Linked DNA regions of Canis lupus familiaris. The protein of the gene in region 2 interacts with the protein of the main gene of each other region in a biochemical or structural test. Links are inferred from orthologs where the notes say so. Each region holds a gene or a part of one and is shown on either strand. Other genes may lie near its edges. The genes, in order: UBE2C, UBA1 and UBE2E2.

What was found.
Region 1: of the proteins of UBA1 (region 2) and UBE2C, one has a biochemical effect on the other in vitro, tested with the Homo sapiens proteins (5 studies listed by BioGRID, with this or other methods). The link is inferred for Canis lupus familiaris from reciprocal best matches to the Homo sapiens genes UBA1 and UBE2C.
Region 3: of the proteins of UBA1 (region 2) and UBE2E2, one has a biochemical effect on the other in vitro, tested with the Homo sapiens proteins (4 studies listed by BioGRID, with this or other methods). The link is inferred for Canis lupus familiaris from reciprocal best matches to the Homo sapiens genes UBA1 and UBE2E2.

Annotation. Positions count from the first base shown.
Region 1 is NC_049245.1:33,750,333-33,754,079, reverse strand, and holds the start of UBE2C (ubiquitin-conjugating enzyme E2 C), read right to left. Parts: upstream 2,497-3,747; 5' UTR 2,433-2,496; coding exon 2,332-2,432; intron 2,261-2,331; exon of another isoform or gene 2,139-2,260; intron 1,606-2,138; coding exon 1,578-1,605; intron 304-1,577; coding exon 217-303; intron 1-216. Other genes in the region: DNTTIP1 (deoxynucleotidyltransferase terminal-interacting protein 1), read right to left, coding at 3,590-3,728. UniProt on the Homo sapiens protein: Accepts ubiquitin from the E1 complex and catalyzes its covalent attachment to other proteins. In vitro catalyzes 'Lys-11'- and 'Lys-48'-linked polyubiquitination.
Region 2 is NC_049260.1:40,993,309-40,996,955, forward strand, and holds part of UBA1 (ubiquitin-like modifier-activating enzyme 1), read left to right. Parts: intron 1-1,419; exon of another isoform or gene 1,420-1,542; intron 1,543-1,691; coding exon 1,692-1,808; intron 1,809-1,943; coding exon 1,944-2,002; intron 2,003-2,113; coding exon 2,114-2,282; intron 2,283-2,376; coding exon 2,377-2,511; intron 2,512-3,529; coding exon 3,530-3,636; intron 3,637-3,647. UniProt on the Homo sapiens protein: Catalyzes the first step in ubiquitin conjugation to mark cellular proteins for degradation through the ubiquitin-proteasome system.
Region 3 is NC_049244.1:20,515,358-20,519,004, forward strand, and holds part of UBE2E2 (ubiquitin-conjugating enzyme E2 E2), read right to left. Parts: intron 1,030-3,647; coding exon 882-1,029; intron 1-881.

The DNA.
Region 1 (3,747 bases), on a different chromosome or scaffold from region 2:
CCCTCTGTTCTTCATTCCGTCTTGCCCTTTCTAGGCATCTAAGATGGAAAGCTACGCTTTAAACCCAACCTCTTACTATCCAGAGGGAGACAAGGGCCACAGGCTCAGAGCACAGGAACAGAACAGGGAAGTGTCCTGCCAGGCTTTAAGCTGACCTGCACTTGGTTTTCACCTCATACCTCTCCCCAGACTCACCCACCTCAACCTTATACTTACTGTGCCAGCTGCTCCGTGGATGGTCCCCACCCATTTGAAAAGGTTGTCTGATTCAGGGAAGGCAGAAATCCCTTTGTCACCAGACATCTGGGGAAGAAACAACACCTGCTGGGCTGCAGAATATGGTTTTGGGGATCAGTGGGTAAAACCCTTCCCCTTAAGCTCGTCAAATTTTGATCCAAAATAAAGCAACCAGACCAAACTGATAGGCTTTTTTGAGGAAGTGATTCGATTCCTGGGGCTGAACCTGCCCCCGTGGGGGAGGAGTACTGGATGTGTTAAGGGCGGAGGGGTTATGCAGAGAAACAGAAGGCAGCTTGTTGGATGCTGGGAATTGGGTTCAACATGCTAGTTAGTACTGGCTGCAAACGAAGCCTAAGGACCATTCACAGACCGGGGAGATATACAACATCAGCATAGAAGGATTTAAATTGGATATTCAGGGTTAAAGTAGACAAGGTCATCTAGGAAAAATTATTTGAAAGTTTGACAGGTATATTCCCTAAGAAGAGTAAGGGTGGAGAGTTGGGTGTGGGAAATAGGACCAGGCAGCACAGAGAGAAGGACTTGCCTGGCATCAGGGAGCGGTATTTTATTTGTATGTATTTTTTATTGGAGTTTGATTTGCCAACATATAGCAAGGGAGCTGTATTTTATTTTACTTAAAGATTTTATTTATTTATTCATGAGAGACACAGAGAGAGAGAGGCAGAGACAAAGGCAGAGGGAGAAGCAGGCTCCATGCAGGGAGCTGGATGTGGGACCTGATCCCGGGACTCCAGGACCACGCCCTGGGCTGAAGGCAGGCACTAAACCGCTGAGCCATCCAGGATCCTCGGGAGCTGTATTTTATTTTTTATTTTTTATTTTTTTGGGGGGAGCTGTATTTTATTTTATTTATTTATTTTTTTTAAAGATTTTATTTTTTTAAATTTTTATTTATTTATGATAGTCACACACACAGAGAGAGAGAGAGAGAGAGGCAGAGACACAGGCAGAGGGAGAAGCAGGCTCCATGCACCGGGAGCCCGACGTGGGATTCGATCCCGGGTCTCCAGGATCGCGCCCTGGGCCAAAGGCAGGCGCTAAACCGCTGCGCCACCCAGGGATCCCAGGAGCTGTATTTTAGAGAGAACTTAAAGGTGGTGGTGGTGGTAGTGGTGGTTGAGGGGGACCTGGAGTAGACACTGCTGGAAGGAAAGGTGTAGGTGGGGCCCAGAAGAGAGGAAACCCGACTCATCCTTTTATCTCCTGTGCTGTGTCTAGCAAAAAGCCTGATGTAGGAGAGGCCACTACTGATAAGTGAATGGGAGGTGGAAGGTGGATCACCTGGCTTGGGGTCTGGGCAGGTAGTCACTCACCATGAGGGTCATCAGCTCCTGCTGCAGCCTGCAACGTAAGTGTTGGGAGTCATCTGGGGGCCTGCATGGGCCAGCGCTCCACCCGGTGCCGCTTCCCCAATCCCAACCCCGGGGTCCCTGGAAGAGCTGTCAAAGAGGCTTCTCCAACCCTGAGGCCAGCCAGACGCGGCAGGGGCACACTCAACCCCATTTCTGGCAGAGTTCTCTCCCTTCCTGATTCCAGGCTCAGGCAGTTTAGTTCAGTTAAGCCTTTTTTTTTTTTTTTTTTTTAATTAAGATTTTACTATTTATTCATGAGAGGCAGAGAAGCAGGCTCCACGCAGGCTCCACGCAGGGAGCCCGATGCAGGAACTCGTCCTGGGACTCCAGGATCACACCCTGGGCCGAAGGCAGGCCCTAAACCGCTGAGCCACCCAGGGATCCCTGTTCTGCCTTGTTCTTTGGCCCCTCAGCTTCTCTGACGCCTCTCCCTGTGCCGGATCCCTGTTTCTCCCCACTCCGTCCCCGCTTCCCCCTACTCCAAGCCACCGGGGGCCCAGGCACACTTTCATCTTGGCTCACCTGCGGAGGGCCCCGGCCACGCGCCTCCTCCTGTCCGCCTTCGGGGCCCCTCTGGGGGCAGCCCGAGCTCCCGGCGTGCCCTCCGGCCCCGCATACCTGCCCACTCCAGGAGGTGGGGGCCCGGAAGTCCGAGCTCTGGACCGCAGGGCCCAGGGCGTGCCGGCCCGGCCAATGGTACCTCCATACTCCTCACCTCTTGCCCACGGGGCCCCGGGCGGCGCCCCCGCTGGGTTCGGCTCCTTTCCGGGCGGCGGCGACGCTGGCGGCGGCTGGGTCTCGGTTCTGGGAGGCCATCCCGGCGGCGCAGGGGGGGGAGGCAGGAACCCGGAGAGCACGGCCTGCAACTGCGGGGCCGGGGCCCGCCCGCCCGCGTTTGAATCGTAACCCTCCGGCAGCACCGGCCAATCAGCGGCTCGCTTGGGTTTGATCCAGCCAATGGGGCGCGCCGGGGCGCTCTGTCACCGCGCAACTGCTAGGCCCGCCCCCCGGCGCAGCACTATTGGGCGGCGGGAACCTGCTTCTGAAGGGCGATTGGCAGAAGAGGCTGTCATTAACTAACGACTCCGCGGCGGAGTGGTGGCCTTTGGAAAACGCCGACCATTAAAGGGCCAAGAAAAAGTCCACGTGGGCCGAACCCTTTCGGGTTAAACGCCTGGCTGGGGAGGGAGCGACCGGCGCGCCCAGCGGGATTCCCTACTTCCCGGCGGAAGGCAGCGTCTCCGGCCTGACGACATTGGTACCCTTCCCTCTCCCCGGAAACCCCTACGACACATCGTGACGTCCCGGACACCTCCGTGGGGTCCAGTGTTTGAAAACTCATGGGAGGGGAATGACGGCAAGAGCGGGAGACTGCGACAAACAGGCTCGTTCCCAGCGTTTGCTGTGTGACCTCGGGCACGGCATTTAGTATTTCAACGTGTAAAACGGGGGTAATAAAAGCCTCTCCGCGTTTTTCTTCTGGTCTGTCATCGACCTCCTGGTGCCAGCCATCACATCCTGCCACTTCTGTACCTTAGGGGATGAAGAAACAAGCCGAGAGCCAGGGAAGGTTGGCACGGTGCTCCGTGGTGTTCCCAGCTCCGTCTCAGAAGCAGAAATGCCCTGGGCAGGGGGACCTTACTGGGTCTACCTGTGATGGGGGAGGGATACCTGGTCCTTTTTTTCCTACACCCACTTCTAGATCCCTCGGTATTTTGTTGGCCCCTACAACACAGACTGCACATCTAGCTCACTATTACAAACTGTTTAATTGTTTCTTAACCCGATAACTTTACAAACAGAACCACACGCCAGTCTGGGGGTGCTCTGTAGTGAGTCACTACAGACTAGCCCAGGCACAGCTTAATGCTGCTGAGATCCATCCAGGTGCAGTCCCAGCAGTGGCCTCCGCCACGTGGGTGCCAGGGCCTTGGAGGAGGGCTGCCAAGTGTAGCCAGGGGTCTTGGCTTCGGTCAGGTCTGTGGAGGCGCTTCAACAGCACGATGCTCGTTCTCTGTCCGTAGTGTCTCCATGTACTTTCGCATCTTCTCAACCATCCAGGAGGGCAGCACAAAGGATTTCAGCTCCTCCAACTTCAAGTCCAGGCATCCTCTGGAACAGACATTGAGGA
Region 2 (3,647 bases):
TCCCAGTAATTAGGTTGATTGGCTCCAGGGTCCTAGCCAGCCTCCTGCCTTCTGGGTCCTCCTTCCTCACACCTCATCCCTTAGCTCTATGGGCTGGGCCCTGAGCTTGGTCCTGACTCTCTTCTCCCGGGAGGCATTTGGCAAACAGGCCCGCACCAGCTGCATGACTGTGGGCAAGTGATTGAGTTCTCTCTCTGAGCCTTTGTTTTCTTACTTGTGATGTGGGCATGAGGTTATCTCGTTCGTGGGCATTGTTGGGATTAGACAAAGCCCTTTACCCTGTGATTGACGGGCAGTAAGCTCTTGGTAGATAATAGGGAGCTTCTGTTCTCCTGGTTAGTGTGAGAGTGTGACAGGTGCCAAGATGGAATCTTGGGTACCATGGGCGTGTTCGGTGTGTTTGGGGGTCAGGAAAGTCTCAGTGTAGGTGGCTTACAGTGGGGAGAGCATCGGTGGCGAGGGGAAATGATTGAGGGTCCTGTTGTCTCTGGCATGGGGATCTGGTCATACACAGATCTCACTCCCACAGCAGACTCCATTGTTCTGTCTCTGGGACCCAGTGTGTGATGCCTGGCAGGTTAGCTCAACCTCACGAGCTCAGGTTTTCTCATTTGTCTGGCAAAGGTGCTCAGCCCTGCCTTGCAGGGCCGGGACCATCGAGGGGATGAAATGTGATAACCTCAGGCAGCAGCCTAGGCTTCAGGGTCAGCAGATCCTGTCTTGGGCTCTGCTTGGCCACTGTGTTTATGGGAACCTTGGTCGAATCACCAAATGTCCCCAAGTGAATTTTTTCCCTCAACTCTGAGTTGGGGGATGTTATTGATGGTAGTCCAGATCTCACGGAGATGCCTTAAGGACAAAGTGAAGCAAGGCTTAGCGTGACATCTGGCACTGGGAGGATTCCTAATAAATATTCATCTGCCATTATTGTTAACCTGTTTAAGGGACTCCACAGGCAAAAGTGTGTATTTTTTCTTCCCATGACCTTTTTTATTGGCTTGGGCCTTTCCCCTCCCAGAGCTGGGTGGGGGGAGGGGGCTTTGGAAAACCCTCTTCCCCAAGCCCCTCCGGGTACTGGGTCTCCGGCAAGGTGTCTCCTGCCATCATGCTACCCTGATGGAAGTCTAAGCCACATTTCCCTCCTGCACCCCTGTCACGGGGGTTAAGGGGGAGGAGAACGGCTGCTTTTTGTTGCCTGCCTGCTCTGTGCCAGGCTCTGTGGTCTGGGCTCTCTTTCATCACTTCGGCAACTCCGTGGGGTAGGTAAGTGGCACTGTTAGCCCTTTGCACAGGTGAGGCAATTGAGCCAATGGGGCTTGAATGAGGTCTGTCAAAGAGTGGCAGGGTCTGACCTGAGCTGACACCCTCCTCTGACTTTCCCACAAGGACATTCTTCTTGTCACTCCTCTCACCCCGCAGGACTGGAGTCTCTCCCTCATGCTGGGCTGGGGAGAAAGGCGAATGGCCTAGTGGTCAGCAGCATGGATTGCAAGCCAGACCACCTGGGTTCAGATCTTAGCTCTGACAGCTGTGTGACCCTGGGCAAGTCACCTCACCTCTCTGTACCTGCCTCCTCTTCTGTAAAATGGAGATACCAGCCCTTAAGTCTTCCCTTCCCCTACAGTCACCACTAACCAACTGTAATACCTACATGCCCTAGGCTCACCTCTGATACTCCTTTTCCCTTCCAGATGTCCAGCTCGCCGCTGTCCAAGAAACGTCGCGTGTCCGGGCCTGATCCAAAGCCGGGTTCTAACTGTTCCCCTGCCCACTCCGTGTTGTCCGAAGTGCCCTCGGTGCCAACCAACGTAAGTGTCTCCTTCCTGGACCCTGGCAGGTTAGGGTAGTGAGAGTGGTGGGTGGGAGAGCCTTCGGTATCACCGTGCATCTGTCCACGCCCTCCTCTGTTTCTACCCAAACCTGTTCTTCTCCTCTGTCTCTAGGGAATGGCGAAGAACGGCAGCGAAGCAGACATAGATGAGGGCCTTTACTCTCGGCAGCTGTAAGTGGGGCCTCAATTGGGCTAAGCACGGGGAGGGGCACTGGGAGGGGCACTGGGAGGATTGGGTCTGGAGGACGAGACCTTGACCTGGAACACCCCCCAACCCCTCAGGTATGTGTTGGGCCATGAGGCAATGAAGAGGCTCCAGACATCGAGTGTACTGGTGTCAGGCCTGAGGGGCCTGGGCGTGGAGATTGCCAAGAACATCATCCTTGGCGGGGTCAAGGCTGTCACCCTACATGACCAGGGCACTGCCCAGTGGGCTGACCTCTCCTCCCAGGTACCTCTTGCTAGTCCTTCTCCCTTGCTGAGGTGCTGGTCCCCCACCCCCAGACTCGACTGCCACTCCCTTCTTCCCTGGTTCCCCTTTGCAGTTCTACCTGCGGGAGGAGGACATCGGTAAAAATCGGGCTGAGGTCTCACAGCCCCGCCTCGCTGAGCTCAACAGCTATGTGCCTGTCAGTGCCTACACTGGGCCTCTGGTCGAGGACTTCCTTAGTGGCTTTCAGGTACCTTGGGCGCAGTGGGGGGTTGCACACCACCCAGCCTCCTGCCCAGTTTTCTCCAAACCCACTTTTCCTTTGATCATTTGTTCTCTATTAAATGGGCCAGCCTGTGTGCCAGGTTTCACACTGGAGATGCAGGTGGGTTTTAGACCCTGGACCTGCTTTTTCGGAGGGCAGGGGTGTGAATGGGCAGGCCATAGAGCGTAGTGATTATGAGCACAGGCCAGAGCCAGACTGCCCTTGAGTGGGTCTCCAGTTCTATTAGTATGATCTCAGGCAGGTCACTTGATCTCTTCTGCTTTGTTTTCTTTTTCTTGTTTGTGGACTTGGGACCGGTAGTAGTACCTACTTTGTAGAGTTTCTGTGAGGGCTAAGTGCTTAGAATAGCAGCTGGTGCATGATAAGGGCCATCTGGTTATTTGTTAAATAAAAACTCTGAGCCCGAAAGAGGAGCTATGGGAGCTGAGTTTGTGCCCTGGGGCATCCCAGTGGCCGGACCCTGCTGCTGAACCTGAAGTAGTTGTAGGAGCTCACCCTGGTGGGCAAGGGTGAGCATTCGGGTAGAAAGAAAAGTCCCAAGGTACCTGGTTCAGCAGGCATTGTCTGGAGAATTGGAAGCAAATGGGTGTGGTAGGAGTGAGCTCAGACTTTGGCTGTGAAGGGAGGTTTACTTCTGTGTCTCCCAGGGCAAGGCAGGCCTGTAGGCGGGCAGCAGTGGGTGTTGATGCGTAAATGAGTCAGCTCCTCTCTACACTCTCCCCTCCTGGCTGCCTCATTACCTTGTCTGCTACCTTGCCCGCCCTGGTGTAGGGATTCGCATTTCTTTTTGCTGGGTTTCACCCTGGCCGAATGTGATCCGTAGTAGATGCTTTGGGAGACAGTATCCACGGAACCATAGTAGATAATTCTGTGAAAGCTTTAAGGACTCTTCTGAGTCCCCCCTGGTTCCGGCCTTCCTGCATTATTCTCTCCCTCTTGCCCCAGTGCTGGGCCCTTGTCCTGAGCCTCCACCTCTCCACAGGTGGTGGTCCTCACCAACACCCCCCTGGAGGACCAGCTGCGGGTCGGTGAGTTCTGTCACAGCCGTGGTATCAAGCTGGTGGTGGCAGACACACGGGGCCTGTTTGGGTGAGTGCCCC
Region 3 (3,647 bases), on a different chromosome or scaffold from region 2:
GGATCCTAAGAGAGACCCTGATTCCCCTTTGTCATTTCTCTCTTGTCTAAAACTTCACCTTCTAGTGAGTTTATTCCTGAAGGTGGAAGACAGAACTTCATCTTCAATACTAATTAAATACTCAAAGAAGAATTTCTCATTGAAAAAAAAAATCAATGAAAACTCTGTAGCTACCTTTGGATTTTTGTAATTTCCAAAATAAACCCAAATATGTAAAAAACTGGCAGTGGGTTTGTCTTCTGGTTAAGAGAATCTGGTCAAAGACACATAATCACACATTTAGTATAACACAGAAAATAAGAACTTTGAGCATAAAGCACCCTAGCAAGCCACAAAGGCTTGGCTATAAACTCTCTTTAGTTTTCCTAGAAAGTTATAGTTCCTAGTTGACAACCATTCAGCTTTTTTGTTCTATTAGCTTGAAAGGACGCATGGTTATTAAAATGCCAACAAGGTCACGTCTGTGTGGTGCTGCTGGTTGTTATCAGATTTTAATAGCCCACATTTCTCAAATTAACATCTTCTGTAGGCATCTAATTAAAGATTAAGCTATTCAATTTGAATTTTTATTATTATTTGGCAGCAGAATATAATGCATTCTTTAAATGCACTTCCCTATCCAAAATGATTTTTCATTAATTTTTATCACACTATGCTCTTTCCTTCTTGGCAAATAATAGACCTTAAAAAAGACTAATGAGAAAACCCAATTTAAAACAAAAGCAGTTACATACTATGGAAATTTAAAATCAATAATAATAATAGTTATAATAGTAGTGGTGGTGGTGGTGGTGGTGGTAGTAAACAATTCACTAAGGTCTGACATTTAAGTCTTGAATAGACTTATTCAAGAATTCAATATTGGACTTAAAGTCTCTTACCAGGGTTGCAATCTGTAAGAAGTGAGCAGATGGAGAGGAGAACTTTAGAAATGGTTAGGGCTGGACTCCAGTTGTCCTTTAGGATATCCAGACAGATGACACCCTGGCTGTTAATATTACAGTGATAGATTCTTGTTCGGAAGGTAACCTAGAAGAAAATGTAAAGTTGTTATAAATAGATATACTTTTTATTAGACAAAATATTCCAAGGGTCACTGGTTGAACCATATACTTAAATTTCTCCTCAGGCACATAAGAAGAATCAATAAACAAAATCATTATTTTAGAACTTGAACCATTCTGGCACAGAGAACTAAACCCCAATAGCAAAATCATGTCCTTTTGCTTTTGATGAAGAGTCCTATCACTTAACTAATGTTCTGGGGACTGAATTTGCTCTTAGTGCAATTGTAGGAATGCTCATAAGGGAAAAACTAACTGTGATTTCTAAAAGCATTTGAAAGAAAAAAATTCAAAAAATAAAAATTTCAAAGGAAACTTGTTGGGAGTCCAATTGTTTTAAGGACTTGTATATTTTAAAGTTCAAAACAGCACTGGAATATTGTAAAAAGGACATAAATACTATTCTCTGTCACAGTTTGAAAACATGAATTAGGCATGTATGTAAATAATATACCTTAAGTTTATAAAGAAACTATACTAGTTACAATTTATGAATCCTTTCCTCCTTAAATTCTATATTTTGAATATAATATTAACATAGTCTACCTCTTCCCTATGATAGGTAGATTACCACTGCACTTTGTTTAGGTATAATTTTGAGATATGTTTATAACATTTTTAAAGAACTTCAATTAAAAAGTTAAGTCTAAATCAGTTTTATAACTCTGGTAAAATTCTGTTTTATAGAAGTTTTATGTAAATAATAATAAGATATTAATACTATTTATTAATAACATGTTTATAAGTATTCTCAACATTTAAGTTGAAATATACAAAAAAATCTTGTTTTTTTTTTTTAAATACCAGTCTTCTGGTATCTAAGTTCAAAATGGCTATGAACCAAAAAATATATGGCAGATATTTGTAGGTGTTGCCACCTAACCAGGGCACCCACTCAAACTCAATTTATTTAGTTTGCATAAAATCAAGACTCAGGACAGATCCAGTCTTCTACAATTATTGAACAACACAGTACCATTTTCAGGCTAGATGAGTATTCCTAATAAGACCTGTTCTTCTAGCCACATGCCAGACCTTATGGAGAACTTTAACATTTCTTCTATACACACTCCAAATACCTAAAAATGCTGAGGAAACTGTAACATTTAAAAAAATGCATAGCTGAATTTGCACAGAGATTTCCCAGAGGCCAGAACTGAAAACCAAGAATCGCACTAAGCACATGAGCTGACAGTGTAGCTGCCAGGGGTGGGACCTATGGAAGAGGGAATAGCTAGTCTTGATAAAATGGGGGCTTGGGATTTGACGCCTTCATGGAGAAAGGGGAAATCTTAGGTCTACATGTGGCAAGAGGTTGGAATTGAGAGGCTTTATATAGATTAGGCCACTTGAGCAGCTAGTCTTTTAGTAAATGGATGGACTTTTTTTTTTTTTTTAAAGATTTTATTTATTCATGAGAGACAGAGGGGGAGAGAGAAGAGAGAGAGAGAGAGAGAGAGAGAGAGAGGCAGAGTCACAGGCAGAGAGAGAAGCAGGCTCCATGCAGAGAGTCCGATGTGGGACTCAATCCTGGGACTCCAGGATCAGGCCCTGGGCTGAAGGCAGGCACTAAACCCCTGAGCTACCCAGGGATCCCAGTAAATGGATGGACTTGAAAAGAAAATGCCTTCTGGGAGAGATAGCAAAGACATGTGCTGGAGAAAGCCTATGCTCTGAAGTGAGGAGAAAAATGTTTCCTCTGAATTCTAAGTCGTGGGCATATGTACTATGAAAACACCAACTAAAAAAAAGAGCTTAAGTGGCTATATTACTATCAGATCAAATATATGTTTAAGGCAAAATGAATAAAGAAGATTGCTGCATTATGATAAAATGAACAACTCATCAGAAAAATGTAACAGTTCTGAAACTGTTGTACCTAATAAGATAGCCAAAAATATAAAAAGTGAAATTTAGCAAAATTATAGAGAAAATGACATGTCTACAATCAGAGGGACATCTTGCTGTAGTAACGGAAGTCATCCAGACCAAAATGTAGTAAGGATACTGAAAATAGGAACAACCAAATTAACAAAATCAAGGGATTGAATGAAAATGAAATTCCACACTTAACAAAGAATATACATTCTTTTCCATTCACATAAGAAACATATTTAAACTGATCACATACTAAGCCACAGAGGAAGCTTAAGATATTTCAAAGAATTATTAAGACCACAAAAATTCTCCATCAAATGTTTGGGAAACTGAAAAACACATTTTTCAAATAATTCTTGGATCAAAGGAAAAAAATTGGCTACATTTATAACTGAATGACAGTGAAATGTTTGGACTGCCAATACCAAACTTTGCAATTTGGTTAAAACAGTTATCATAAAGAAATCTACAGTTTCAAATACACAAATTAGAAAGGAGGAAAGGCATCTATTGAGTGCTTAAGGAAAAGAAAAGAATAACAGTAAATCCTATAAAAGCAGATAGAGACATGAGCAGAATTTAATGAAATAGAGAATACCTAACAATATTAAAATTCTGCAGAGAAATCAGTGTGTCTATTCCTTTAAGTGCTTACTAGATGGAAAGACAAAATATTTTTATGATCCAGTGTAAATGATGAGTGGC